Caenorhabditis elegans: one gene and its partners. The protein of the gene in region 1 purifies or fractionates together with the protein of each later gene. This does not show direct contact. Each region holds a gene or a part of one and is shown on either strand. Other genes may lie near its edges.

Evidence for each region.
Region 2: the proteins of ech-6 (region 1) and K08D9.4 fractionate together in Caenorhabditis elegans (co-fractionation; one large-scale study listed by BioGRID). This does not show direct contact.
Region 3: the proteins of ech-6 (region 1) and F58D5.9 fractionate together in Caenorhabditis elegans (co-fractionation; one large-scale study listed by BioGRID). This does not show direct contact.
Region 4: the proteins of ech-6 (region 1) and kat-1 fractionate together in Caenorhabditis elegans (co-fractionation; one large-scale study listed by BioGRID). This does not show direct contact.

What each region holds. Positions count from the first base shown.
Region 1 is NC_003281.10:9,751,052-9,754,663, reverse strand, and holds ech-6 (putative enoyl-CoA hydratase, mitochondrial), read left to right. Parts: upstream 1-1,780; 5' UTR 1,781-1,788; coding exon 1,789-2,091; intron 2,092-2,137; coding exon 2,138-2,348; intron 2,349-2,396; coding exon 2,397-2,695; intron 2,696-2,917; coding exon 2,918-2,971; 3' UTR 2,972-3,112; downstream 3,113-3,612. Other genes in the region: vps-53 (Vacuolar protein sorting-associated protein 53 homolog), read left to right, coding at 1-260, 468-836.
Region 2 is NC_003283.11:3,196,170-3,204,884, forward strand, and holds K08D9.4 (AB hydrolase-1 domain-containing protein), read right to left. Parts: upstream 4,255-8,715; 5' UTR 4,245-4,254; coding exon 4,125-4,244; intron 4,074-4,124; coding exon 3,920-4,073; intron 3,867-3,919; coding exon 3,585-3,866; intron 3,492-3,584; exon of another isoform or gene 3,471-3,491; intron 2,930-3,470; coding exon 2,712-2,929; intron 2,666-2,711; coding exon 2,504-2,665; 3' UTR 2,375-2,503; downstream 1-2,374. Other genes in the region: Y73C8B.1 (AB hydrolase-1 domain-containing protein), read right to left, coding at 14-295, 352-505, 552-671; Y73C8B.5 (EF-hand domain-containing protein), read left to right, coding at 1,378-1,384, 1,774-1,856, 1,904-2,164.
Region 3 is NC_003279.8:12,042,178-12,050,483, reverse strand, and holds F58D5.9 (Cystatin domain-containing protein), read left to right. Parts: upstream 1-3,865; 5' UTR 3,866-3,890; coding exon 3,891-4,215; intron 4,216-4,459; coding exon 4,460-4,535; intron 4,536-4,586; coding exon 4,587-4,687; intron 4,688-5,087; coding exon 5,088-5,248; 3' UTR 5,249-5,283; downstream 5,284-8,306. Other genes in the region: ksr-2 (Kinase suppressor of Ras B), read left to right, coding at 1-439, 2,308-2,599; F58D5.5 (uncharacterized protein), read right to left, coding at 7,498-7,719.
Region 4 is NC_003280.10:7,071,972-7,080,406, reverse strand, and holds kat-1 (Acetyl-CoA acetyltransferase homolog, mitochondrial), read right to left. Parts: upstream 6,594-8,435; 5' UTR 6,593-6,593; coding exon 6,383-6,592; intron 6,281-6,382; coding exon 6,017-6,280; intron 5,921-6,016; coding exon 5,768-5,920; intron 5,718-5,767; coding exon 5,582-5,717; intron 5,533-5,581; coding exon 5,193-5,532; intron 5,119-5,192; coding exon 4,998-5,118; 3' UTR 4,896-4,997; downstream 1-4,895. Other genes in the region: T02G5.7 (Acetyl-CoA C-acetyltransferase), read right to left, coding at 3,343-3,463, 3,635-4,008, 4,054-4,601, 4,651-4,780; kars-1 (Lysine--tRNA ligase), read left to right, coding at 8,066-8,169, 8,234-8,435.

The DNA of each region.
Region 1 (3,612 bases):
TGCTCTCCGATCGCCGAAAATATTTTGCTCATTTTTGCCTAAAACTCGCAACTCAACTTGCTCACAAATTTGTTGGATCATTATTCCGTTGCCGAACAATTAGTACTCATGGAGCTGAGCAACTGTTACTTGATACTCATTCGCTAAAAACATTTTTGCTCAGTGTACCATCAATTGATAGTATTATCAACTCAAAACCACCAACGGCATACGTTACCAGTGTGAATGCAGCTCTGACAAAAGCTGAAATGATTTTGAAAGTGAGACATTTTAGATTTTTTAAAGAGATCGAAAAATCAAAAAATCAAAAAACAAAATTCGGTTTTTAAACATGGGTTTTAATTTAAAAAAAAATTGTGAATTTTCCGGAAATTCGAAAGTCAAAATAAGTTTAGAAAGACCAAAATTTTAATTTGTTGTTTTCCATTTTTCCAAAAACGCGAAATTCAAAATAAATAATTTTTCAGGTAGTAATGTGCAGTTTGGAGACTGTCGATGAATTTGTTGAACAATATATTAAACTTCTACCAGCGTCGGATGCAGCAGAAATGCAAAAAGTTCTTGAAATGAAAGGAGTTAAACGACAAGAGCATTCGGCAGTTCTCAACGCTTATCGATTGAAAATCGGTGCATCTGGCTCGGATCCAATTCAACAATCGAATAGTCTAACTTCTCGGATTGGTGGAGCACTACCAACTGTTGGAAGTGCAGCATCTGTATCTGAAGCATTCAATGCAGTTGTATCAATGGCAGCAGATGGATTGTCTGATCAAGCAGTGACGTCATCAATTGATAAGCTTAAAAGATTCGAAAGACTAGTCAAACGACAATTGTGATTGTTGATCTACTACCAAAGAACGAAATTTATAATTTATTTACATAATTTTATTTGAAAGTTTCTCAGAATACTCATCGGAGTTTTGTATTTATTTATTTATTCATGTGAAATGTTTTAATAGTTGTGAATAAGATTTCTAATTCTTACTTTTTATACTTTTTGTTTTAATTTAATTTTTATGGGTTGTTCTCCGAAATTATTTGATTTTTTATTATGCAGTAACTCAAAGATACCGTATCCTCTCTCGCCACAAACGAAATATTTTGAAGCCGTGAAAAAAGGAATGCTCCTTTAAGTAGTACAGTAACCCACTCTCTGTTATCTCGCGCAGTTGTCTCTGCTTTCCCCTTTTTGTTGTAAAATTTTACCAATAAATAATTAGCATACCAAATTGGTCTGCTAATTATTCAGCATACCAAATTGGTCTAAATCTTCGGAATTTTATTTTTCATGTGTTTAGAAAATAAAAAACAATTATTTGGATCTAAAAAATTGCTATGTAAATTGCAATTATAGTACTCTTCAAATGCGCACATCTTTTTGTATTTCACACAAATTTGTCGTGTCGAGACCGGATATGGTTTCTTTTGGCAAAAATCTAAATTTTGCGTCTGTGTTATTTAATAACAATTATAATTGTTCCAAATTAGAGTCTTCTTGACGAAAAAACGTAAAAATTGGCACGTTTAGACACGTTGTATAACAACAAGAAAAACCTTTAAAAAGCAGTGTTTTCTTGTTTTTATTGTTGATTAGTTCATAGATCACAGTTCACACTGTGTGCTCTATCGTTCGTATATCTCTCACTGTCTGCGTCTATTTTCATATCTGTTTCGTTCACTTTTGCATCTTTTACAATTGTCTTCTTTTTCTTGAATACTTCCAATTTTCTTCTCATTTCTTAGTTATCAACATTTTCCAACTCAAGTTCTGAAATTTCAGAAATCAAGATGATGCGCTTCTCGTCGATGCTGGTTCGCAATGCCAAATTGTGTGCAAATGTCAACCAAATGCAAGTCGCCGCATTTTCAAGCAAAGCTCCTGAAATGATCAAGATCGAGAAAGTTGGAGAGAAGCAAAATGTTGCTCTTATCAAGCTGAATAGACCAAAAGCTTTGAATGCTTTGTGCGCTCAGCTTATGACTGAATTGGCTGATGCTCTCGAAGTTTTGGATACTGATAAGTCTGTCGGAGCAATTGTGATTACTGGAAGTGAGAGAGCTTTTGCCGCTGGAGCTGATATCAAGGAGATGGTTAGTCAGCGTATAATCCAATTTTTTAAAAATTATCGGATTTCAGACCAATAACGAGTTCGCCACCACATTTTCTGGAAGCTTCCTCTCCAACTGGACCGCTGTCAGTGATGTGAAAAAGCCAGTTATTGCTGCAGTGAACGGATTTGCATTGGGAGGTGGAAACGAGTTGGCAATGATGTGTGATATTATCTATGCCGGAGAGAAGGCTCGTTTTGGACAACCTGAAATTAACATTGGAACTATTCCAGGAGCAGGTAATTGACAATATTTTAAAATCAAATTTTTAAACGTCGATGATTCAGGAGGTACTCAGCGTTGGGCTCGCGCCGCCGGAAAATCATTTGCCATGGAGGTGTGCCTTACTGGAAACCACGTGACTGCTCAAGAAGCTAAGGAGCACGGTATTGTGAGCAAGATTTTCCCAGCTGATCAGGTTGTCGGGGAAGCTGTGAAACTTGGAGAGAAAATCGCTGATCAATCTCCACTGATTGTTCAAATGGCAAAGGAGGCCGTTAACAAAGCTTATGAGCTTACTCTTCAAGAGGGACTTCACTTCGAAAGACGACTTTTCCATGCCACTTTTGCCACCAAGGATAGAAAGGTAAATTATCAAAATGAATTTTTAAATTGCAATCTAGTTTTGTAGATAAATTATTTAAACTTATTTATTATTACGGTAGAAAAACTGCCAAATAAATACAGTGATCAAAATATTGTTCCAGTTTTTATTCCACCTTCTCTTAAAATGAAATAATCAGTTTCCTACCTAGTTTAGTATTTTTCTCGAAAACCTGATAAATTCCCCTTAAAAGATGTTTTTCAGGAAGGAATGACCGCTTTTGCCGAGAAGAGAAAGCCACAGTGGGAGTCGAAATAGATGCGCATCTACAGATAAGAGAAGAAGATGATTCAAAGTGCCTAGTTGAATTTCTTGTTTTATTATTTTTATTGTGTTTTGTATTTTTTCTGTATTTTACGGTTAGTTTCTTCTGCCATTGAAAATAAATATATATGTAAAGCTGCATCTTCACGATTTTCTGATTCCTTTTTTTTTGTAGTCAGTTTCGATTTTCCATATTTGTGATTTGTGATTGTTTATGTTTTTTTTTTGAAAAAAAAATCAATTAAACACTACAGAAACACTACACACTTGTATGCTGAATAATAGCATACCCACCTTGGGTCTGCTAAATATTAAATTTGTGATTTCTGATTGTTTATGTTGTTCGAAGAAAAAATCAATTAAACACTACAGAAACAGTGGACAGCGATGTGGCTTGACTGGTTCTTTCCCGTGAGTTTTGTAATATTTAATGGCCGGCAGGGAGCAACATCAAGCGGCAAAGTTTGAAAAATCTTCCCTATCACGATTTATTAAGTTCAGTTTCAGTTTCTACTGTACAAAAATGTTTTTATCTACTATACTAGTATATCATTACCTAACCACCAATTTTCGGCCGCCCTTTCTTAGTTTCTCTCAATCTCTTCTAATATTTTCTATATCTGATTACCTCTCTC
Region 2 (8,715 bases), on another chromosome or scaffold:
TAAAAAAACTTACAATTATACATAATGGTATCTCCTACCGTTTTCGGCAATTTTTTATGGAAATATACCAGAGATTCCAGCTTTCCCTTCGGACGAGACCCTTTATGAATTCTCAATCCAGTCGGATTAACCATTACTAGTCCATGAGGTTTCCGATTAGTAGCTGTTATCAGTGCACTTTCACACCCTCTGCTATGCCCCATTATGATCACTTTTCCCTGCACATCTAGCTCGTTTAACAATGCTTCTGAGTAGCTATTTCGTTCCCAGTTTCCGAAATGTTGACCGGGGTAGGCTGAAATTTTTTTAAAAATTATTTGATGGTTTTTTTAAAAAATAAACTGAAATTACCAGGAGTTTGCTTGAAACCTGGGTAGTTAATGCCAATGAATCTAATATTCATGTGCTCCAAACGCTGCCTAACATACTTGAAATCTTTGTGAGATCCTGGAGTTCCATGGAATCCGATTACAGTGCCCAGTGGTGAGCCTGATGCAGAAGTATCCTAGAAAATTGACTATTGAATATTAAAAACCTTTGGCTTACCGTACCTCATAAACTGCATTTAAATCTACCAATCTTCCCCTTTTGGTTTGGAACTGCACCAGCTTTGAGTACAACTTTGGCTCACTGGCGGGTAGGATGGAAAATGCTCGTTTTGACACAATCATTCTTGAATTTTTGAAATTAACTCTGCAAACAATACATCGAAATGAAACAGTTTTAGGAATTTGAATTTAAAACAATTGAAGTCGCGTGAATTTTTAAACGTGAAAATTAATTTTTTTTAAAAATCAAAATTTGATTAGTTGTCTTTTTAAATAGTTTTTTTTCCAAATTTTTTGTTTTACAATTTTTTATTGAAAATATAGCGATTGTTAAAATAATAGCAAAAAATCAAAATTTAAAAAAACCACAACAGACTGGCAAAAAGGAGAACAAGAAATGACGTCAAATGCGTACCCACAGGAGGAAACCGGTCAGATGTGTCTGTGTAGTCAGTGTGTAGCCAATGCACCCCCTCCTGTACTTTGGACCCTTGTCTATGTTTTAAGAAATTTTCAAATACAAACCTTAAACTGCAGGGCACTTTTTTCAGATTGAAAACTTTGGTTGGCCCAAAATTTGTTTTTTTTTTCAAATTTTTGTTGGCGTTTTCTGGGACAGTATTTCAAAATCTAATAATTTCTTGTATGTTTTTTATTGAATAAAATTACTATCACAGTTCTCAAATTATAGTCGTTGGAAATATTTTTCTTGGTGAAGATTCTCGGCGAATTCGGCAAATCGGCAAATTTGTCGCACACCCCTGATGTAGAAATAAGCTAGGCCCGTAACTAAGCATCCCGTTGGTATGACCATCTATAAAGCCGGTATATGATAGGTAGGTAGGAAAGCCTATTTTCACTGTATTTTCAGAAAATTAGTTGTATTTTATTGGTTTCTGATATCTGGCAGCAGGAAAACGAGTAGATAGGCGTAGGTCGGCTTGAAGGCAAATATGCATTTTTGGGTACTATTCCTTTTCTTGTACCTTGATAGCGTCCTACCAAAAAATAGCTGGAGTTCTGGAAAAATCGATTTTTACAGCATTCTGTGTCAGTTATTGAAATTATTCGAAAAATGTTTTTTTGCCAAATTTTACAATAGAAAAAATCGTGCTTTGCTGAAAGTATTGGATATATTATCCATTATAAATTCAACGGAAAACATGTTTTTATTAAACAAAATATCCATTTAAAAAGGGCACCTGTAAGTGAGTTTACATTCAAGCCATCAATTCTATCTTCTTCCTACTCATCATTCTCGCCTGGATTCCAAATTTTGGAAGTTCTCAGGATAATGAGGCTCTTGGAGTGAGTTTTTAATAATGTTCGAAACAATTTGTATAGATGCTTTACAGGAGCTAACAGGAGCTATGTTGTCGCTAAGAGGCTTGGCACAGAGTGAAGAGAATTTTAAAAAGGTGTTCCAAGAGTTTGACGAAGACGGAAATGGCTTCATCTCTGTTGCTGAACTGGAACCCCTCTTCAGCAACTTTCAAGCACGGCTGTCTGCCGAAGGGATTCGCAAAACTTTCCGTTACACCGATATCGACAGAAATGGTCAAGTTGATTTAGATGAGCTCATCGATGTAACCAGAGCTGTAAATCCTTCTCTTTAGAGAATCACCAACCTCAAATTTTCCAGTTTCCTCCTCTTATCCTCTCGTTTATAAGTATTATCTTCCCTAAAAAACTTTGAATAAATATTTCATCAACCTTCAATTGAAAAACTCTTTTTTTTGCCGATTAAAAACTTTGGTTCACCTAAAATTCGTTGTCTTTTGTAATTTTTGCTGACTTTTTCTGGGGCAGTATTTCAAAAGCTAAATATTTTTTGTAAGTTTATTATTGAATAAAATTACTATTACAGTTCTCAAATTATAGTCGTTGAAAATATTGTTCATGTTGCAGATTTCCCTTTTGTTTGTAAAGTTAAACAATTTGAAAATTTCAAAACATTAATTTAATAACATTGATCTAGCAGCATCTGCCAATAAATCCGCCCGCTTCTTATTTTGAAAATGATTATCCTTTGCAATAAATACAGATGTTCCTTTTTGATTTTTGAAACTTTCCATTATTTTCTGCTTTTCGGATTCTGTGATATTCGCTTTGAAATTCTGAAATTCCTTCCAATTTTTCAAGTTTTTCTATCACAAAACTTACAAAATGCGCGAGTCCCTGATACTTTTTGAGTGCTTCAAAAACAATTTCCTTTTCAATTAAATGATCACTTCCGCCAAAAGTGATCATAGTCTTTGTGGGCAGTTCATTTAATTTCAGAATGTATTCCAGTTGCTTTTCCAGGTCACAGTTCATAATTGCTCGAATAACCGCCACGGCTTCTTCACCATCATGAATTTTGAATCCAACCAATTTCATTACTGGAAATTGAAATAATTTATAAGATCTGAAGTATCCCTGAAAATTTCGAACATCCTTTAAAGGTGGAGTACCGAAATTTGAGACTTTGCTTATTTAGACCCAAAATGACCCAAAACCATCGACTTTCATAATGAGATGTTTTGAAAGTTTCTCAAAAACGGGTTTTTTCTAAAACATTGAGCCGACATAACTTTTATTTGAAAAATTTTCAGAACATCTCATTACGAAATTTGGTAGTTTTGGGTCATTTTGGATCTAAAAAAGTAAAGTCTCAGATTTCGGTACACCACTTTTAAAAACTTAGGTCTAACGAAAATACGTATTCCTAAACTGCCAAAACTACACTTTAAATAAGCCACTACCAATAATTTTGCTGCGTTTTGAACTAGAAAATTTCCGATCTCAAATTTTATTTTTACAGGACATTTTTCCAATTGTTCTGAAGCTCGTAAAATTGCTCTAGGGGTAGGCAACATCCAGAAAACTTTTCAGATTTTTGCTTTTTTTTTAATCAAAAACGCTCCCAAAATGAAAAAGTTTATGAAAAAATCCAACTTTCAAGCATTTTGACGAGCCTCAACAGTAGTAAAACACCACATTGAAACATTTTTTGGTAGTGGCCTATGGCATATTTCTCATTTTGCTTATACTCACAATTATACAAAATGGCATCTCCAATCTTTTTCGGCAATTTCTTATGTAAATAAATCAGCGACTCCAACTTTCCCTTCGGACGAGACCCTTTATTAATCCTCAACCCTGTTGGATTAGCCATCACTAGTCCATGAGGTTTCCGATTAGCTGCTGTTATCAGTGCATTCTCACATCCTCTGCTATGCCCCATTATGATCACTTTTCCCGGCACATCTAGCTCGTTTAACAGAGCTTCTGAGTAACTATTTCGTTCCCAGTTTCCGAAGTGTTGACCTGGGTACGCTGAAATTTATTTTTAATTATTTGATGGTTTTTTATTAATTAACTGAAACTACCTGGAGTTTGCTTGAATCCTGGGTAGTTAATACCAATAAATCTAATATTCATGTGCTCCAATCGCTGCCTGACATACTTGAAATCCCTGTGAGACCCTGGAGTTCCATGGAATCCAATCACAGTACCCAATGGGGAGCCAGATGATAATGAGTCCTGAAAAACTGACTTTTAAATTGAGAAATCAGTATTTCAGTGTCAACCTACCTCATAAACTGCATTTAAATCTACCAATCTTCTCCTTTTGGTTTGGAACTGCACCAACTTTGAATACAACTTCGGCTCGGTGGCGGGTAGCGTGGAAAATGCTCCTTTTGACATAATCATTATTGATTTTCTTGAAAGAATTTGTATCATAAATCACCAATTTGAAACATTTTTATTCACGAGATATTATCAAATTTAATCAAATTTGTGTTTAGAAAAAAAAATCTGACCTTCTCCATTTTTGTACTAGAAACGTAAAAAATACAACGATTGCTGGAAAATCAAAAAGACAAAATATAAAGCACAACATGAAGCTGGCATGTAAAAAAAGAAAGAAGATATGACGTCAACTGCGTACCCAAACGAAAAAGAGGAGAGAAGCGCGGGTCAGCTGTGTAGTTGGAGTGTGGCCGGTGTGCCCATCGGGTACTCTGGACCCTACTGGAATAAAATTTTAGCTTTACTATTAGATGAGTTTTTTTTTACATTTGATAAAAAAACAAGCTTTTTGGACAATTTTTTCTGGCCAAAAGAAAATCAAAAAATAACCGTCTAACAATTGACATTGAGTTGCAACTGTGTGAAGACGTGAAAATTTGAGAAAAAAAAATTCGCATTCAGAAAAATGCAAAAATTACACTGTAAACTGAAAAAAGCTCTAAAATATGAGTTCAACAAAATTATACGTTTGGCCAACTGCGAAGATTTGCAATTTGGTCGCCTGATGCCGAAAACTTGCCGAAAATTTGCCCATCGATAGCTGAGTTTTTAAACCAGTCAATTGAAGTATATCAGGAAAAGCGAACTCACAAGATGTCGGTCGCTGCAGTTTTTGACATTTCTGGTATTTTTGGGTGTTGTTTTTTTGTCAAAAATAGGGGACTTTTCAGATATGTATGTTATATCACATGTTATGTATGTTATGTATGTTATATTAGCCGATATGGAACCAAAAATTATCGAAATTGGTTACCTATCGGCTTTAAATATACCTTATATCAACGAAAGTAAATGAGATAAACTACCAATATATGTAATAAAGGACGATAATTCCAAAAAAGTCAACTTCGGACATGAATCTTATTTCGCAATGAATCTTGCGCAATGAATCTTATTTTGGCACCTCATGTCCTATGCATGTTTAATACTTTTACCCATTATTCATCTCCCTGACACCCGCACATTCATGTACCAACTAATCAACTTTTCAGATGATAATTCATTTTCTGTATGTTTATTAGTTTTCTGTATGTTTATTATCGTATGTTTATTACGTTTATTATCATGATTTCAATCGTAATAAATTCAATTCAATTCAATATGTAAAAGCGAGAATACAATTTATTGTAAAATTACATTTTTTGACAGCCTTTATTTCCGAATTTTCAAAAAATACAAAAAAAATTCAGAAAGAGGAAGGAAAAAATTCAAGCAACTACATGAATTTCCTAAAATTGAAAAAAAAAATCGTAGTAAAATTTTTCAAAAATTAAAAAAAAACAACTTTTAAAAATTTCAACGAGCGGATTCAATGGTGTTTCAAATATTTTTTAATTATTGGTGAGGGTTTAAACCAGCGATTCTCGAATTTTTTTCACCAAAAATTTGACTGAAAATGTTGAAAAATGTTAAAATTTTGAAGTGTTTCATTAAAATACTGAACCGGCAATAGGTGGGCGGCAATTGCCATTTGGCAATTTTGGCAAATTTTGTCGACAAACTCGGCAAATCGGCAAACTGCCGGTTTTCCTGATATTTTCAATTCCGGCAACTTGCCGGTTTGTCGATTTGCCGGATATTTTCAATTCAGGCTATTTGCCGATTTGCCGTTTGCCGAACACCAATTTGCGGGAAGTGTTTAGAGGGAATTATTTATGAAACCGAAACACTTAAATTTGCGCCTTTTTGAAATTTTTTTCCCCGTTGTCTTCAGATAATTTCATAGAATTTGTGTACTTTTCGAAACAGATGTAGGAACATTCATAGAATGCGTACAATTTTGCCGATTAAAATTGAAATTCTGAAATTTCCAAAAAAAAAACTGTACAAAACGACAATTTGGGTGATTTGCCGGTTTGCCGATTTGCCGGAAATTTCATTGCGGTATATTGCCGGCAGCTTCGATTCCGGCAATTTGCCGATTTGCCGGAAAAAATAGTTTGCCAACCACCCCTGTATTGGGTTATTTGAAATGATTATTATTTCCCATTGGTTATATCTTCAATGTTTAGCAATGCAATAAAATTATTTCCCCCCCCCCCCCCCCCCCTGCAAATAATTCCAGTGACAATTTTCCATAAAATAAATATGTTCGGCAACTCTGCAAAAGAACACCAGGTGTGTTCATAAAGTCGTATTGTGTGGAAGTTTGAACACTGGAACTTTGGATTCGTCGGAAAACAATTCATCATAATCGAATTTCTACATATGCAAAAATTCAGAGTAGTTAAATTCGCTTAGCAATATACGGTGATCTACAAAAAATGCGGGAGAAGAGACGCATAGTTCTCAACTGATTTCGTATGGTTAAGAACGTGCTGACGTCACATTTTCTTGATAATAAATTCAATAATAAAGAGAGTATGCGCCTTTAAGGAGTACTGCAGTTTCGAACTTATTATTTTTGCAGAAATTGAAAAAAAAGTTGTTCTTAATATGGAAAAGGTGAAAAAAAGGAAACTACAGTACTCCTTAAAAGGCACACCCTAATTTTTTTTATTTAAAAAAATCGGTCGTGTCCAGATCATCTGAAATTGAACTTATGAAGAATATGAAATATTTTTAACCGAAAAAAAAAAAACGAAAGTACTGCGCAAAAACCCATTCCAATTAATCCAGAGAAACTACTTTTGAAATCGGAAAAAAGTGCATTTTCGTTTTTCATAGTGTTTTTTTTTCTAAACAGCGGTTTTTTTTTCAAAATTTGCAAAAAAATAAACTTCTTCAGAAAAAAAAAAGAAAAATAAGTTTTACAGAACATTTTTTAAAATATTAATTGGACGCAGAATTTTTTTGAAATCGACGTGAAAACGCGCCCCACGGCTAATTGAAACGCCCCGCCGCCCGAGTCATGGGTCTCGTTAGGAATTTGACAGTAAAACCGTGGTGCCAGGCTGTCCCATTACGTTTTTGATCTACAAAAAATGCGGGAATTTTTTGCGCAAAAAAAGTGACGTCAGCACCATACGAAATCAGTTGAGAACTCTGCGTCTCTTCTCCCGCATTTTTTTGTAGATCTACGTAGATCAAACCCAAATGGGACACTCTGACACTAAATTCAGAGTTTTCCATTAGTTTTGCATGCTTTCAAACAATTTTCGTCTTGATTGAAAGCATGTAAAACTAATTGAAAAACTCAATTTACACGTGGTGTCAGAGTGTCTCATTTCGGCGTGATCTACGTAGATCTACAAAAATTGCGGGAGAGAGACGCAGTGTTCTCAACTGATTTCGCATGATTAAGAACGTGACGTCACATTTTTTGGGCAAAAAAATCCCGCATTTTTTGTAGATCAAACTGTAATGGGACAGCCTGGCTTCACGTGAATTTAGAGTTTTGCAGCCAAATACCTAACGAGACCCAACGTATAGGGGCGGACAGTTTTTCATTGGCCGTGGAGCGCGATTGCGCCATTTCCCCAATTTGTTACTAATTTTTCTTCCATTTTCAACCAATTCACTTTTTTCAGGGAAAAAGCACAAATTTTTTCCAGCTTCCTCGCCAAAACGAAAATATTTTGAGAAGCATCTTCGATCGCCGGGCGGCGGCCGATTTTTTTCACACATCGCTCACTTCTCAGTGCATTCTCATGCAAATCGTCGCGTCCCTGGCACACAATCACAAAAGTCGGGAGGGGTGGTGGTAGATAGAAGGAAAAGGAAAGAAAAGACAGTTTTCAATATATTTGAAATATTTTCTTCTTCGTTTCTTTTTTTGTGCTCTTCTTTTATCCAGTTTTTTTTTCAATATATTTAACAATAATCGTGGCAATATTGAAGACTCCCCCACATCTGTTGTTAGTCGTCGACGCGGCGCCGTTGTGTGCACATATTTCAATCGGAAAGTTCTGAGTTAGCAAAAACAAAGAGCATCTGTCAAAACGTTTTGATGATTTGATGACGAAGAGTGAGGTTCTCAATTTTATCGCCGGTCCCGTATTTTATGCTCCGAAAACTCTTTTGTTTCATCTCCGTATTTTATTACACGATTTTGTTAACAAATTCCTCGTTAAAGTTGGTTTTTAACGCAAACTTTTTATTTTTTAAATTTAATTGAAAAATAAAAATATATACTACAGTAGTTTTTTGAAGGCGCATGGCTGAATTTTTAAAGTCGCGTCGAGACCCTTCACACTTTTTTGAGATCCGCGCCTTTTTACTACGGTATTGCTAGTTTTTATTTTCTTTTTTAAATGCCTTTTTTGTGGATTTTCCTTGTTTTTTGCCAATTTTCGCGCATTTCCGTCCAATTTTCTTGCGAAAAAACTTAAACTTTGTAGAAATTTTCGTTGAATTTTCATGCAAAAACGTCAATTTTCGGCGAGTTTTCCGTTTTTTCCTTAGAAAACTAAAGTTTTTCAATTTTTCCGGT
Region 3 (8,306 bases), on another chromosome or scaffold:
CCCTATTCTACGGATACGTATCAGATCCAGTGACGAATACGTACGCAATTGTCACGAATTTCTATCAACACAACACTCTTTATCACCGAATTCATGAACAATTATCCGAAGATTTCGATCAATCGTGGACATTTCAAATTTCGTTGCAAATTTGTCAGGCAATGTCTTATCTGCATAAAAAGAAGATACTTCATCGAGATTTACGAACGAAAAATATTCTTTTGGACAATCCGAATCGAGTCGTTGTTACGGATTTTGCGTTGATGAAGCTTGAGCGGCTGGAGAATCCCCGCAGAAATTGTACACTTTTAATCCCAAATCACTGGATTGACTATCTTTCGCCGGAAATTGCTGGAAATTTGATGATTGATTGGAGGGGTGATGTGTTGTTTCAACATGAACTACCGTTTTCACAAGAATCTGATGTTTATTCGTTTGGGTACGGGGGGATTTTATCGAATTTTTAATTTTTTTTGATTGAAAACCGCTTCCGAAATGCGAAAAATTGCGATTTTTGGCCAGAGGTCTCGCCACGATCGAAACTTCCCCAGCTACAGTCCCTCCGAGAACTTCGAAATTTCTTGGTTTTTTGGGGCGTTTTTCGTAATTTATGAATAAAAATGAGTAAATGTCAAGAAAAAGACAGAATTCAATTTTTGTCGACGTTTTTACTAAAAAGTACGGTATTCAGGGTCTCGCCACGACCGAAACTTTCCAGCTACCGTTCCCACGGGACTTTCGCAGTTTTCCGGATATTTGGCGTATTTTTCAAAATATCGGGAAAACTGCGAAATTCTCGGGGGTACGGTAGCTGGGAATTTTCGATCGTGGCAAGACCCCGGTATTTTGTCGTAAAAATTTCGAAAAAATTGAATTCTGCCATTTTCTTGACATTTACTCATTTTTATTCATAAATTACGAAAAACACACCAAGAAAACCAGGAAATTTCGTATTTTATCGGATTTTTAAGTGAAAACCGCTTTCGAATTGCGAAAAAAAATGCGATTTTTGGCCAGAAAATCCGGTAGCCTTGGGTCTCGCCACAAGAATTCGTTTTTAGAGCTCTTCTCCACGAGGAGTACACGAGCGAGCTGCGTAAATCGACAGCTCTTCCATTTTCAAATTTAATGGAGTTTGGGAGACCGATTTGCAAAATTTCACAAATTTTTACGAAAAACTACGGTAGCTCGGGGTCTCGCCACGATCGAAACTTCCCCAGCTACAGTACCCCCGAGAATTTCGTAATTTTCTTGATATTTGGCGTGTTGTTCGTAATTTATGGACAAAAATAAGTCAATGTCAAGAAAAAGACAGAATTCCATTTTTTTTTCAAAATTTTTACTAAAAAAGACGGTATTCAGGGTCTCGCCATGAACGAAACTTCCCAGCTACCGTACCTACGAGAATTTCGTAATTTTCCTGATATTTGGCGTATTTTTCAAAATATCGGGAAAACTGCGAAATTCTCGGGGGTACGGTAGCTGGGAATTTTCGATCGTGGCGAGACCCGGGCTACCGTTTTTTTTTCGTAAAAATTTGTGAAATTTTGCTAATCGGTGCTCTTCTTTTTAGCGAAAATTAAAAAATGGAAGAGCTGGAGCCTCTCTGTCGATTTACGCAGCTCTCTCGTGTACTCCTCGTGGAGAAGAGCCGAAGATTCTACAGTTTTTAGGTGAAATTCTCGGTTTTGCACCAATTTCGCTAGTTTTCTTCTGTGATTAACATCAAAATCGTCCATTTTTTGCTTATTTCTATGTATTTTGATGAAAATGCGAAAAAAAACACTCAAATTTGGAGTTTTTGACCAGTAAATTCATAAATTATGGATACTGGTCAAAAACTCTAAAATTGAGACTATTTTTGTATTTTTCACCAAAAAATGAACGATTTTGTGTGTTCAATACAAAAAAACCAGTGAAAATGGTCCAAAACTGAGAGTTTTAGCTAAAAATTGGAGAATCTTTACCTCTTCTCCACGAGGAGTACACGAGAGAGCTGCGTAAATCGACACATTGAGAAAAATTTGGAAAAAATCATTAAAAATGAAGATTTTTTCACAAAACTAGTGAAAAAAATCTCAATTTTTGAATATTTTGAGTTAAAAATCGACAATTTTTGAAAAAGCGAAAAAAATTTTTTTTTTAATATTTAAACTTTGAAATTAACACTGAAAAATGCTGCGTAAATCGACATATTGGGAAAAATTTAATAAAAATTAATTTTTTTTCAAAACTAGTCAAAAAACTATCATTTTTTATATTTAAAGTTTTAAAAATCAATAATTTGAAAATTTTCCCAATTTTCAGTACAATTTTCTTCGAACTCCTGCTCCGCCGTATGCCAACGGGCTGTGACTCTTGGGATCAGAAGCTCTACGCGAAAATGTGCGGCCAAAAAGCGGCACTTCAACGGCTCGACGCCCAGCTGCAAAAAATCGACGGAAAATTGCACGAACTGCTGCTGGAATGCTGGTCGAGCCAACCGGAGAAGCGGCCGAGTTTCCAACAAATTGTGAAGCGAATTACAGTTCAAATGCCGAGAAAAGAGTCGAATAAGCAGAAGAGACGCAGCACGGCACACGAGAATCCACTGTTTTAGTGTGTAGAATTATCGATTTTTTATGTACAGAGAGAGAGAGAGAGAAGAGAAAAGAAGAAGAAATTAGACATTTTATCCATTTAAATACCTATATATATATACAAATATTTATCCTATATTCATCCCTGCCCCTGCCATTGATCTTGTTTCATAATCATATCATAGTTTTATCAGAAAAAGAAAAAAAATCCCATTTTTCCATCATTTTTATCCGCGTTTTCCTATTTTCCTCCAAATTTCCCAAATTAATCCCGCCAAAAAAATTTTTTAATTTAAGTTTAATTTCCCGCCGTTTCCCTTCCTGTGCCATCCTTTTTCCCCCCTGAAAAGAAGCAAAAAACGAGTTTTATATACCACAACCGGATTCCTACTATATTAATTCCAATTTTATCCAATGATTTATTTATATTAAATTATATTTTCTTTTTTTCTACCATTTCTGTGCTGCCTTGAAATTTTTTTGTTCCCGCCTTCCTCCCCTGATATATAGTTATATATAGTTTTTCGACAAATTTTCAATTTTCAAATGAAAATATCGACTTTTTAGTTGGAATTTTTTGGGGATTATCCAGGAGTTTTTTACATATTTCATGTAATTTTATTCGCTGAAAATTGATTGAATTTCAGGATTTTCGCGCGAATTTTGGCTGAAATTGGGCATTTTTACGATTTTTCTCTCAAAAACTTGAAAAATTTAATATTTCCCTTTGAAATTTGCAAAATTAGGTTAAATTAAACCTAATTTTGTAAATTTTCGTTAAAAACCGTTAAACAAACCATTTTATTCAGTTTTACAATGAAAAACTAGCCGCGACGCGACACGCGCCGCTCCGTAAATCTACCCCGGCCGTAGCCGAGTCCAAATGGCCTAATTACCGACTTTTGCATAAAAATTGAGTTTTCAACACGATTTTTTCTCTAAAATTTACAACTTTGGAGAAAAATCGTGAAAAAAGCATTTTGGGCAGGTGTGCGCCTTTAAATTACTGTAACTTCGAACTTTGGTTGCTGTGGAATTTTAACCGATTTTTCATAGTTTTTGATTGAAAAAATTCCTACAGTAATCTTTAAAGGCGCACACCTGCTCGCAGTTCAAAAAAGGCGTGGCGAGACCTGGTACCGTAGTTTTGGCGCGAAAATCACAAAATTTGGCGTCTGGGCCTTAGAATAAGCAAGCGCGGCGCGGTTTTTTTTTGAATTTTTCTCTGTAAAATTTTTTTAAAAATCGCAAAATTCAGGATAAAAACGTCTTGGTAATTTTTTTTTCAGATTCCCCAGGAAGACCCTAAAAATGAAATCTCTTCGAGCAACTAACATCACAACGGCCAAAGCCGTCATCATTAAACCTCCCCACCACGTAATTCTCGGCAAGAAGCATCGCCGACGTGTTGGTGGCAATCTTCGGGATACCGCCATTTTCTGCGACTTTCTGACGTCATTTTGCTACGTGGCAATGGAAAGATGCTCGCCGAGCACGGCGGATTGGCCGAAAATGAAGTTTGGACAGGATTATGAGCATTCGAAATGCCCGGATGCACGATTTCAGCGACACGTTGAAGAAAATTGTCAGCTCGCGGAGCAATATATTGCGGCAGGACGATTATTGGCTTTTGAAGGTTTTTGGGCCTAAAATCTAGATTTTTAATTGATTTTATTGTATTTTTTGCTGTAGAAATGCTTTAAAACCCAGAAATAAAACTTGCGCGTCAAATACAATGCACTGCGTACACTTGCGGTGTTTGCACTGAGTGCATTTTAATTGACGCGCAAATCTTTTTTTCTGCATTTTTTTCGAAATTCTTGAATTTTTTAGCTAATTTCAGATGATTTTTGATTAAAAATAACTTGAAATTCTTCCAGTATGCATGGTAACACCGTCGGAAACTCAACTCGTCGGATTTCGTGTCACTATCAGCCGATTGAGGCGCCCTGATGGGTAAATCTTACAGAATTTGATGATTTTTCACTAAAATTTTATAATTTTCAGCCGTAGAAGTCCAAATATCTACGCCAGGCTCTCAGCGATTCTGGAGAAGGTTCGAACGATGGAAATTACGGAAAAATTGGATACAATGATGAGCTCCTGCAGTGAGTTGGCCAAAAAAAAAATCTTCTGAAAATGGGCCAAAATCGACGAAAAAAAAAACCATAAAATATGACTTCTCCAGTCAAAATCGGCAAAAAATGCACCAAAATCGACCAAAATTTACGTAATATTCGCTGAAAATGGTTTTTTAATCCAATTTCCACATATTTCTGAAAATTTTTGTCGATTTAGCTTATTTTCCACCGATTTAAACGGAAAATTCTCAAAAAACGACGAAAATTTGCGAAAAAATGGGAAAAATTCATTAAAAATTGTAAAAAAAATTATTTTTTTATTCAACTTCGCCAGTTTTTTGCAAAAAATTCTATCGATTTTGGCCTATTTTCCAGCGATTTGGGCTAAAAATTCCCAAAAAACGGGAAAAAAATTCAAATTTTCCAGAATATCGCCCTCGAATCCGCCTTCTCGCCCGTCTTCGCCCCCAATCCAAACGGAAAGCCGACAAATCCAAAGTGGCCGATAAATCTCAAACTTTTTCTCTTCCAATTTCAAATTCCATTCGATTAATGTACACTGGAATCTCATTTTATGCTTTTATGTAATTCTGAATTTTTGAAAAAAAACACAATATTTTTTTAGATCACAACGTATTTATTACTTCTTCTTCTTTTCAAGAAAAATAGTCCAGACAAGCCTAATGAGAGCCTGAAAGCCTGGAAATTTTGTCTTGATAGTGATCTATTCGATTTCAGTGAAAAAAATCGCAATCCGTACAGATGGTAGAGGTGGAAATGCGCAAAAAACGCCAAAATCTCAGTGGAAAGTTGGCAAATTTTCGGGAAATCGCAAATTTCGCGAGAGAAATTTGATACTTTTCCCAAAAAATAGCCAAGAAACAGGAAAAAAGATGGAAAAAAAAGTGGGAAGGAATGCGAAAACCTGGGAGATCGAGGTTCGACTCGCGCGAAAATTTAAAAATTAAGGCTTCTGAGAGATTTAAATGAATGGGTGGGTGGGTGAGGGGGAAAATTTAAAATTTTCAAAAAAAACCAATAGACTAGAGAACAAATTTAGCCGGGATTACTGTAGCAGCTAAACTGTGTGGATTATATATATTAAAAGATTATAAGATATTGATAGATATATAGGATTACTGTAGACTGTAGGCTTGGTTACTGTAGGATAGTGTGACCAGACTCGGGGGGATATGAACATTAAAATATGACGTGGCGAGACAGAGAGAGACAGAGAGAGATAGAGTGAGAGAGAGAGAGAGTGGGGGTGCTAACACAGAAATAACGAGACATAGAGAAAAAGAAGAAAAGATGGTACAAAAACAGAGTGAAAATAACCTAAAAAGGTCGATTTTCAGTATGGGGAAAAATGAAAAAAAATGAAAAAAGAAAAATCGATAATAGAGATTTAGAGGCCGCCCATTTTTCTTGGCGAGTTTTCCCAGAAAATATTGAAAAACTAATCGAGAAAAAGTGGCGTGTGACCCGGCCAAAATCAATTTTTGAAGTTGGGTACACACTTGATAATTATTGATTTTTGAGACTGTGAAAATCTCCAAATTTCCGTGGAAAAACAGTTTTTAGGCGAAAAATTTGGTAATTTTCAGTGAAAATCGACTGAAAATGGACAAAAATGTACGAATAATTAGCAAATTTGGCTAAAACTCAAGAAAATCGTAAAAATTCAGTGTAAAAAAAGATTTTGCCCGTCAATTAGAATGCACTCGGTGCAAACACCGCGAGTGTACGCAGTGCATTGTATTTGACGCGCAAGTTTTTTTTCATCGGTTTTTTCACGTTTTGTGCACAAAATCGACAAAAAACTTGGGAAAAAGCCAAAATATCAGAAAAAATCGATAAAATTTAATTTTCAATCAATATTTTGCAAATTTTCAGTCAAAATCGGCTAAAAATGCACTAAAATCGACCGAAAATTGCAAAATAGTGGCAGAAAATCAATTTTTTCCTGTTTTCTGCATTTTTGCAGATTTTCCCACGTTTTTTGCACGAAATCGGCAAAAAAAAAACTCGGAAAAATGTGTTTCGCAATTTTTTGTCGATTTTTACGGAAAATGCACCAAAATTTGCAAAAAAATTGAAAAAACCGTGCAAAATTTGAGAATTTTGGCTATTTTTTCACTAAATAATTCAAAATTTTCGCCGAAAGAAAACCCGTTTTTCCGGGAAATTTGGAGCCATTTTGAGCATTTTTGTGGGGGGCAAAAACCAATAATTAACAAAACATATAAGTGAAAATGGACAAAAAATGGAAGAAAAAGGTGAGGAAAAATCCAATATGTACAGGAAAATCATCACGTTTTGGTGGGGGGGAAAACTAAAGGAAAAAAACGCGAAAAAAAAGATGGGCGGTCTAAAATATCGAATTTCTAAGATTTTTCGGGTCAAAAAATGAAAACGGGACGGGGGAATACCTGTATTTGTACTATCGAATTCCGGGAAAGAAATTTCGAAAAAAAAACCGAAATATCTACAATGGTTCAGAATTTCTAGTAGCACACGGGGATTTCGCGGGGAATTTTTTCGATTTTTTTTTCTCTATTTTAACGAAAAAATCCCCCGCAGCAAGACAAACAAAATATATTGCAAATTAACAAAAAAAAAAGTGAAAATTTTCAAAAAAAGAAGCCAAAACTGTGATAAATTGTTGAGAGAGACGAATATGGATAAGTTTTGCAGGGGAAAATTAGATTATCTCAGTTTTTTAGGGGTTTTTTAGGCTTTTTAAGCCAAAATTTCAGTTCGAAAACCCAAAAAACCCCCCAAAAAATACACTAAAATAATCCAAAAATAAGGGGGAAATCCAGAATCCAGAAGCTTTAAGCCGAGGCGATTGCTGCGATGAGCTGTAGTGGACAGACACGAACTCCGAGCACATCAGTCTTTGGCTTCATCTCTTTTTGAGCAGCACGTCGTGGTGTCATTGTGATCATTGGAGCATCCGATGATGAGAGAGAAGATGTTGACGATGAAGCTGATGACGTCATTGAGATGGATGATGATGGACGGGATGAGTTTTCGAGCTGTCCGGGCACTTGGAGCTGAAAAATTGAGAAATTTTGAGGGATTTTTAGGCTGGAAAATGCAAGAAAATGCACTGGAAAGTGGAAAATTCGGAATTTTCAAAGAACTTTATGCTAGAAATTGTGATTTTGAGCTTAAAATGATTTTTTTTTTGGTAAAAATCGTCTTGGAGCTGAAAATTTGGAATTTTGAGGTTTTTTGAGCTTGAAAATGTCGATTTCAAGGTGAAAATGCTTTTTTTCACTGAAAATTGAAAAAAAAGGGCGAATTTGAATAAAAAATCAGAATTTGAACGGATTTTTATGCTAAAAAAGATAGATTTCGAGCTGAAAACGCCATTTTTTCAGTAAAAATCGACTTGGAGCTGAAAATTTGGAATTTTAAGGTTTTTTGAGCTGGAAAAACCTTTTTTAGCCGAAAAACGAAAAAATTCGAATTTTAAGATTTTTATGCTAGAATAGGTTGATTTGAAAATGCTTTTTTTCAGTAAAAATTGGAATAAAAATGGAGGATTTCAGTGGGAAATCCTTTTTTTAATAGACTTCTATGCTAAAAAAGATAGATTTTCAGCTGAAAACGCCTTTTTCTCAGTAAAAATCGACTT
Region 4 (8,435 bases), on another chromosome or scaffold:
GAAATCTAAAGTCTTTTCTGGAGTAGTGACGAAGATATTTGGAGAGCTCCAGTTCCAAGACGTTCTGATAGTCAGTGCTGTTCATCTTGCTACTGACGAACTGTATCTCAAGCTTCTTCTTCTCCGTGAACGCTCCCCAAACCATCACCGTTCCTCCTCCAAAATTACGTCTCGAAAAAACCATTGGTTCCTTGCGCAAATCGCGCCAATAGTAGCGGCAACCGTCAGGCCCATCGAGATTGAATTTCTTTTCATCGGAGAAGACAACCTAAAACAATGATCCTAATTATTCACTCTTGCTTTTTTAAATTCTCACTTTACTCCAATTCGTTCCCATATTGTTCTTAGCAAATTCCAATCGCTTGAGTTTATGGTCTGCAGAGAGTAACGGAGCAGGGCGAAGTTTCTGACGAACGATTACACCAGATCGTTTGATGACATTGAGGATGGTCCTTTTTGAAGCAGACAATTGAAGCTCATTGCGAATATCTCTTGCCGTCTTACAGGAGTTGGAGGCAGCACGAATCACATTTCGTTCGTCACGCACGGAGAGAGCTTTGCGACGAGGAGCTCTTTTAGATGTACCGTAGCTCACCGGATCCTTCAGATACTCGCGAATACAGTGTCGAGAACGGGAAATTTTCCTACTCATTTCATGCAGGGACACATTGAGCAATTTCATAACATCCAGCTGAGCGCGTTCAGTGTCCGAAAGGGCAGATCCTCGAGGCATTGCAAGTTAGACTGCTTTCGAAGTAAGCTTTCCAGCCTCTATATGTGTGCCACAACACATGCCACAATTCCACATTTAATAATTCACGCAAAAAATAGTAAATAACATCTGTGAGGGACAATTTAACTTGAAATATTGGTCCCATGGAACCTTGTAATCAAAGAAAAACGATTTGATTCCTGATAAGCCTTCCATTGTTTCCTGCTGCATATTTTGCCAAATCAGCTTGACTACACAGTCGAAACATCTAAAGTGCGTGCTAGGAATTTTAGTAGGAACTTGTTAAAGAGAGTTTATCAAGTTTTGGCATTACCGAGAGCACCAGGAAGCTTGAAACAGACTTGAACATCAAAGATCGGAAGAATCAGAACCAGTCTGGAGATCCCACGAGAACATTTCGTATTAATTTTTTAAAGTCAAAACTGCTTATATGAACTCATTTCTAACTCAAACTTGATTTGAGCTTTGTCAAAAATTCCAAAATCTGTTGATTTTAGTAAAAATCGTGAAAAAAAACGGGGGGTCCTATAGAAGTTTCACACTGGATTTTGACGTTTTTTCCAGCGCGACCTCAGTTTTTGAGATAAACTTCTGGAAAAAAATTTATATAGGTTTTTTTCAATTTAAAAACGAACGGCATTAGCAGTTTTTCGAAAAAATTTTCGGAAGTTCCTCAAACCTTCAAATTAGGGGGGGTCCTATAGAACTTTCCCACACTGTATATTCAATATATTTCTAACGTGAGCATTTCAGGTACTGCCCAATGAAGCCGTCGAGCCAGTTGTCCTTCAATGAGGATTTCAGCCGAGATTTCGAAAACCGCCGATTCCAGCGCAGTCGTTATCAATTTTACAAGCATTCCTCATTAATTCAGAAGATCTACGCATCATCCGAAGATTCTTTCTAGAAGATCCAATTTCTCAATACTTTTTTATATCGGGTCCAACTCGTTTATTTTCTACAAGCTTTCACAAACAGATAGTTTATTGAGTTACCCGTTCATAGCCTTTATTGATTCCAAATTTCCCATCTCACACTTTTCTACGGTCTATCATTTACTTTTTCTGCTAATAATGAATTATTCATACCGTATAATGGTCTCTATATTATCCACGTAACAACTTGTGCTTTTTCGTCGAATTGTCATCAATTTGTGGAAGAAAGTGGTAACTGAAAGAAAGAAGTTTCGAAAGAAATAGTTGTAGAGTTGTAGAATCACTTGTCAATTGCATTTGAATAGTTGGCGAGAGCTGCAATATCGAGAAAATGTGTAGCCAGGAAGGTATAGCTCTGAAAATAAAAATTTACAATTCGTTTTTTTGTTTTTACAAGCACATGTAACTTTAGAACCTTCTCACAAATCGCATAGGTGATGGCGATTCCTTCTTCAGTCGATGTGCTTCGTGCTAGCTCATCAAGAACTACAAGTGAGTTTTTATCGGCATACTGTACGATTGCAGCTGCATCTGACATTTCAGATGCAAATGCAGACTTATTTCTGATCAACTCGTCGTTATGACCCATTCTGGAGAAGATACGATTAAAAACTGAAATTAATTCGACGATAGAAAATAGCAAATCAAAACTTTTAGGTTACTTGGCAACGAAGCATAGTTTGCTGGAATGAAGCATCCTACCTATGCCATGATTGCTAGTTGGGCAGCTTGTTTCAGATATGTTGACTTTCCAGCCATATTTGGGCCTGTAATAATTCCGAAACGACGATCTCTTGTCAGACACTGAAATTACAGATAAAATGAAATCAATGGATTCCTATTCATTACCGTATCGTTTGTGATTGTTTTCTCGGAATCATCCCAGTCCAGGAAGATACTTTATTGAGTTACCCGTTCATAGCCTTTATTGATTCATCTCATTTCTTCACCAGGCTCGTCTTCCAACGCTGCAACATAAAGTATTCTTCATACGAGGATCGTTTGGCCCAAGCCAATTTGAAGTCAGTGCAATATAGGCGGGTCTTGCAGATCCTTCGCACCTACCACAACATCATAACTGGAAACTTCCACTACCCAAATGTGTCATCGTCGGTGAAGAAAGCTGTAACTCCAAGATACCCCTACATGCTCAGATCTGTTGGCGAAACAAACAAAGGATTCCTCAGAGCCAACCTCGCCACCTGGAACCGCCTAGCAAAGCAAATCCCGGAAAAATTAAATCGCTCTATGTTTGCTTCCCGGTTAAATTCTTCCCCCCTTAATATTCTCATTCCCCCAACTTGATCTCTCAAACTAATAATGGTTTATGGGATCATTTTATCATCCACCAATTCTTCCCTGTGATTATTTGTATACGATCTCCCCTTATATGTTTTGCCTTGAAGACGTGAATGAATGATATATCTCAAAAGAAAAATGCTTTTCCGATTTTTCCAGTATATCTCTTTTGAGATGGCTCAAAACCATTCCTGATAATGTACATATTAACCTTAATTCATTTCCCAATCAATAACACGTATGCACCATTTGAGAATAAACATTTATGTGACAAGAACCTTAACTATTTATAAATACGTAATCGAAATTTGTTGTAAAAGTGAATCAAGGAATGATGAATAGAAGACCAGAAAACATTTAGGCAAGAGGTTCATATTACAGTTTTTTGATGAGCACTGCTGTGGCTTCTCCTCCTCCGTTGCAAATTGCAGCTACACCGAGCTGTCCTGGAGCTAAAGAATATGCAAGGGAGTTGACGATTCGGAGACCAGACATTCTGAAAATTATTAAAATTAATATAGGTTTGTTCGGACTTAAAGTTTACTTTAAAATTTGTATGTTTTGTTTTTGTGTTTTAGAATGTTTTTTTGCTATCAGAATTTTCTCTGTACACATTCTAATTTTTCCGAAAACGCTCACTGAAGTTTGAATCAACAAAAAAACTTACCCAAGTGGATGCCCAATCGCTACTGCACCTCCTTTTACATTAACAACACTTGGCTCAATATTAAGTTCTTTGATGAAAGCAAGAACAGTGACGGCAAATGCTTCGTTGAGCTCCCACAATGCAATGTCTGAAACTTGGAGCCCGCTTTTTTTGAGAAGAAGACGAACGGCGTCCACTGGTGCCACGGTGAAATCAATGGGAGCTCTTCCAGCTTCAGCAAATGCCACGAGTTCAGCAAGTGGATGAGCTCCTTGTGGAAGAGCATTCTCTCCGACAACGACAGTTGCGACAGCTCCATCATTAAGCGAAGATGCATTGGCCGGTGTGATGGTTCCAGTGCCGTCACGAACGAAGACTGGTTTCAAAGAGGAAACCTAAATAAGTTTAATATTTTTGATAAACATTTTCTTTCTGCATACCTTTGACTCGATCAGTTTCTTATACTCCTCATCTTCAGTGATCACTACTTCCGATCTCGAAGTCTTAACACTAACTGGTACCACTTCTTCCGAAAACTTTTCAGAACTCCATGCATTTGAAGCTTTTTTATAACTTTCAATAGCATATGCATCTTGTTCTTCTCTAGTAATTCCATAATCTTTTACAGTCTTCTCAGCACATAATCCCATTGGACCTTTCTCTTTAATATCTTCAAGTCCATCCTTCGAGATTCCATCTGTCATCTGGATTCCTCCAAATGGAATTTCTCCTCTCGGCACGTAAAATGGAACTTGACTCATATTTTCAGTTCCAACAACAAGAATAGTGTCATAATATCCTGCTTTGATTTCCACAGCTGCTGTCACCAAGGCTTTCATCGAAGAAGAGCAAACCTTGTTCACCGTAACAGCTTGCGTTGTTACTGGAAGACCAGCCGACAAAGAGATCTGTCGGGTCACATTTTGTCCTAGACCGGCCGGAAGTACGCATCCACCAATTACTTCTTCGATTTTCTCCGGAGCAACTCCTAAAAATATTTAATATTTGTTTCAAAATTTCATTATCAGTAATTTAACCTGATCGTTCAATTGCTGCCTTTGCAGCGACCGTTCCGAGCTCAACTGCGCCAAAGTTAGCGAAAGATCCTCGGTAAGCTCCGATGGGAGTGCGAGCTCCACTCAGAATGAAAACTTTTTTATCCGACATTGCGATAGACTGTCTGAACTTTGGATTATTAGAAAAATCGCATACGAATAAAAAAAGATAACTGAAATTGGTTTGAAACCAATGAAAGAGAAGTAGATAATCAAAATAATAAATGAATCTATTTACCGGAGTTTCGATATGAGCGAAAAATACATAAATACAAGCTAATCGTGAAAAAAGGTAACAAACTTTAAACGAAAAAAGTTAAATTATAAATCTATAATTTCTGGATAACCATTCCACTTGAGCCACCACCTCCATTGCAAATGGCAGCAACTCCGATTTGGCCACTTTTGAGTGTGTGCACAAGATGAGTGATGAGGCGGGCTCCGGACATTCTGAAAGAAAAATAATCGATAACAAATTTACGATAAGAATGCGGAAAGAACGGTCAACTGATATGGCAACATACCCGATGGGGTGACCAATTGAAACAGCTCCTCCATGTGGGTTCACAAGGGATGGATCGACTCCTAGTTTTTTGATGAAAGCAAGGGGAACACATGAGAAGGCTTCATTAACTTCCCATTGAGCAACATCTGATTGCTTCACTCCTGCTCTTTCAAGAATTTTTGGGAACATCAAAGTTGGTGCTACAGCGAAATCGAGTGGGTGCGTGGCGGCATCTCCATAAGCCAAAATTCGGGCCAGAGGCTTTAAGCTTTGCTCGGAAACTGCTTCCTGTGAGGCAACAATGACAGCAGCTGCACCGTCGTTCAATGTTGAAGCATTAGCAGCAGTGATAGTTCCGTCTTAATATATTATGTTGATTTCAATTTTCACGATAAGAATAGTACAAACCTTTCTGGAAAACAGTTCTCAGCGAGGTGAACTTGTCGAAATTGACTTTTGTGAACTCTTCATCTTTATCAACAATCGTGACTCCCTTCTTTGATTTGACGTTCACTGGCACCACTTCTGGTCCGATATTTCCATTCTAAACAACATGGAATCATAAAACGCACAAAGAGCAATCAGTTGACAAACCTCCCATGCTTTAGCTGACTTTTTGTAGCTGTTGATAGCATATTCGTCTTGGTCTTTACGTGTAATTCCCATTTCTTTTGAAGTCTTCTCTCCGCAGTTTCCCATGTGAACTTTATCATAAGCATCGGTCAGTCCGTCTTTGACGATTCCATCCTGAATAAGAAAATGTGAGCATTGATTTCTTTTAAAGAAGTTTAAAGACTATTTTTAGACAATTTAATATTTTTTAGAAAAATAAATTAAACTCACAATCACTTGAAATCCACCATATGGGATCTCTCCTCTTTGAACATAAAATGGTACTTGTGACATGCTCTCCATTCCTCCGCCAATGGCAAAATCTTGATGACCGGTTTGAATTTGCTGGGCAGCAAGAATGATTGCTTTCAGCCCAGAAGAGCACACTTTATTGACGGTGGTAACAGCAACCGAAAGATCGAGTCCGGCTCCAAGAGCTGCTTGACGAGCGGGAGCTTGACCAGCATTTGCTTGACAGACTTGACCAAGGAACACCTGAAATTGAGGCATTTTAAGATTAAATCGGTAGTTTTTGGAAGTGATATAGAATTTCAGATATTACTAGTATAGAAAAATGCAAACAAAGAACACACTCGCCTCCTGAATTGAACTCGGCTTCACTGCTCCACGCTCCAATGCTGCTTTGATGGCAACCGAGGCGAGCTCTGGAGCAGTTACCGAAGAGAGAGAAGAACGAAATGATCCAATAGGTGTACGGGCGGCTCCGACGATGAAAGCATGTTTGTTTGATAGTGCAGCAGATGTGGTGATTCCGCGGCGAATTGCGTGTCCAGACGATGACAACATTCTGAAAAAAAAAAGAATTGACTCGACACAACTTGTTTTTGAAAATAAGATAAGAGAATGAAGAAATTCGTTCGGATCGAGATGAATGAGAGACAGAACAGAAGAAAGGAAAGATTATGATGGTTAAATAGAAAAGCTAGTACGGCGGTGGAGCGAAATTGCACTTTCTGTAAAAAAAAAGAAGGAAAGAGAGATATAGATTTTCTAGTCAAAAGTAGTGCTAATAAGGTTTTGTCGTTCTCATAAAAGAATTGAGATTAGTTACGTGTAGCTGTGAACTTTGGCGGTTTCGATACTCCTAGGAGCTCCTTGATTCTTTCATACAGGAGTTGCACTTGCTTTTCAAGAGTTCCCACGTGCAATTGAAAGTCAACTGTTCTTCTGTGACATCACACTGGAGACAGTAAAGAAAGAGAGTGAGAGCAATGTTCATATATCTAAGATCAAATGATGATGACAATATAAACTATCATTACACAACATTTCGATGCAAAAACGTTGAACTGTCTCTGAACTGCCATTTTCTAACACCTAAAGTGCTACAATAGGGGAGATAATCATAAATTAGATTTACAGCCTAAAAATTATGAACATCAAACGCGATTTTTAAAAGTTTGATATATATTTTAATCAACAATTCAATATTCGCCTAACAATTTTAAAATGCTCCATTTCGAATAATCAGTTTTCTTACTGATATTTTTTTAACTAAAACAAATGATTTCACAACAAATATTGCAACACTTTCCATCAGATTAAACAAGAAAACGCAACTCTGATAAGCTTTGTGCTTTATAAATAAAACAAAACAAAAATTAAATTACTAGCTTATGGTTGAATGAACTTTGGAAAGTTCTAAATTGGAGACACTACCGACACTGGAGAAATGTATTCCGTAGAAATGCTGCTTCATTCATGCGCGTTTTATCCATTGAATGCGTTAATAAAAACTTTGCTTAAAATATTGAAAATATTATTTTAAAGCTTTGAATAACTTTTTGAGTTAAATAATAAAGATAGCCTTCCAAAAACTACCATCGAATCTCTAAATTTCTTTCCTCCGTTTTCCGTTTCCTCATTAAATACAAACGCGCTCTAAAGCCAATGTCCGAACGCTACAAAATTTGGGAGGAATTGAGCATTTTAAAATGCATTTTGAGATGTTTTCAGCTCATTTTCATTTAGATTTTTCGCTTTTTGTCCATAATTCCGATACAAACTTATCTGAGACAACAATAAAAATGCGTCAAGTGTGTCTTAATTTCCCTAATCTTCAGACTGAGATATTTCGCTTTAGTTTTAGGATTTTCTAAAAACATGAGTTGAATTGTTCCGTTTTCTGCTTTATTTCCATAATTCCATGCAATTTTTCTTAAATTAATTGATTATTATTTTTCAGCCACTTTCAAGCACTGTCACAGGGCAATGAGCGAGCCAGAGGCCAAATTGAGTAAGAAGTAAGTGAGAAAAATGATGATCGTGTCTCATTCGATGTTGAGCCGATCGGCTGTTTCATTCTTGCGACGTAGGTCGTCTTCATTTTTCGGGACGTCAGTTTTTCTGAGCCAAAACACTCGGTTAGTCGACGTGTCCTCAGATTTTGTGACAACCAGCACCATTGATCAATAATGTTTCTTTCAGTGAGCAGAAGAGGCTCGCCAAGCAAGCCAAGAAGGAACAAGAACGTCTGGAGAAGGATGCTGCTAAGCTGAATGTTGCCGTCGCTGATGCTCCAAAAGTTGTGCGAGAGGCGGATCCTTCTGACCCCCAAGAGTATTTCAACATGAGAGTTAGGATGATTGAGGCCCGTAGAGCTGCTGGTGATAATCCATTCCCACACAAG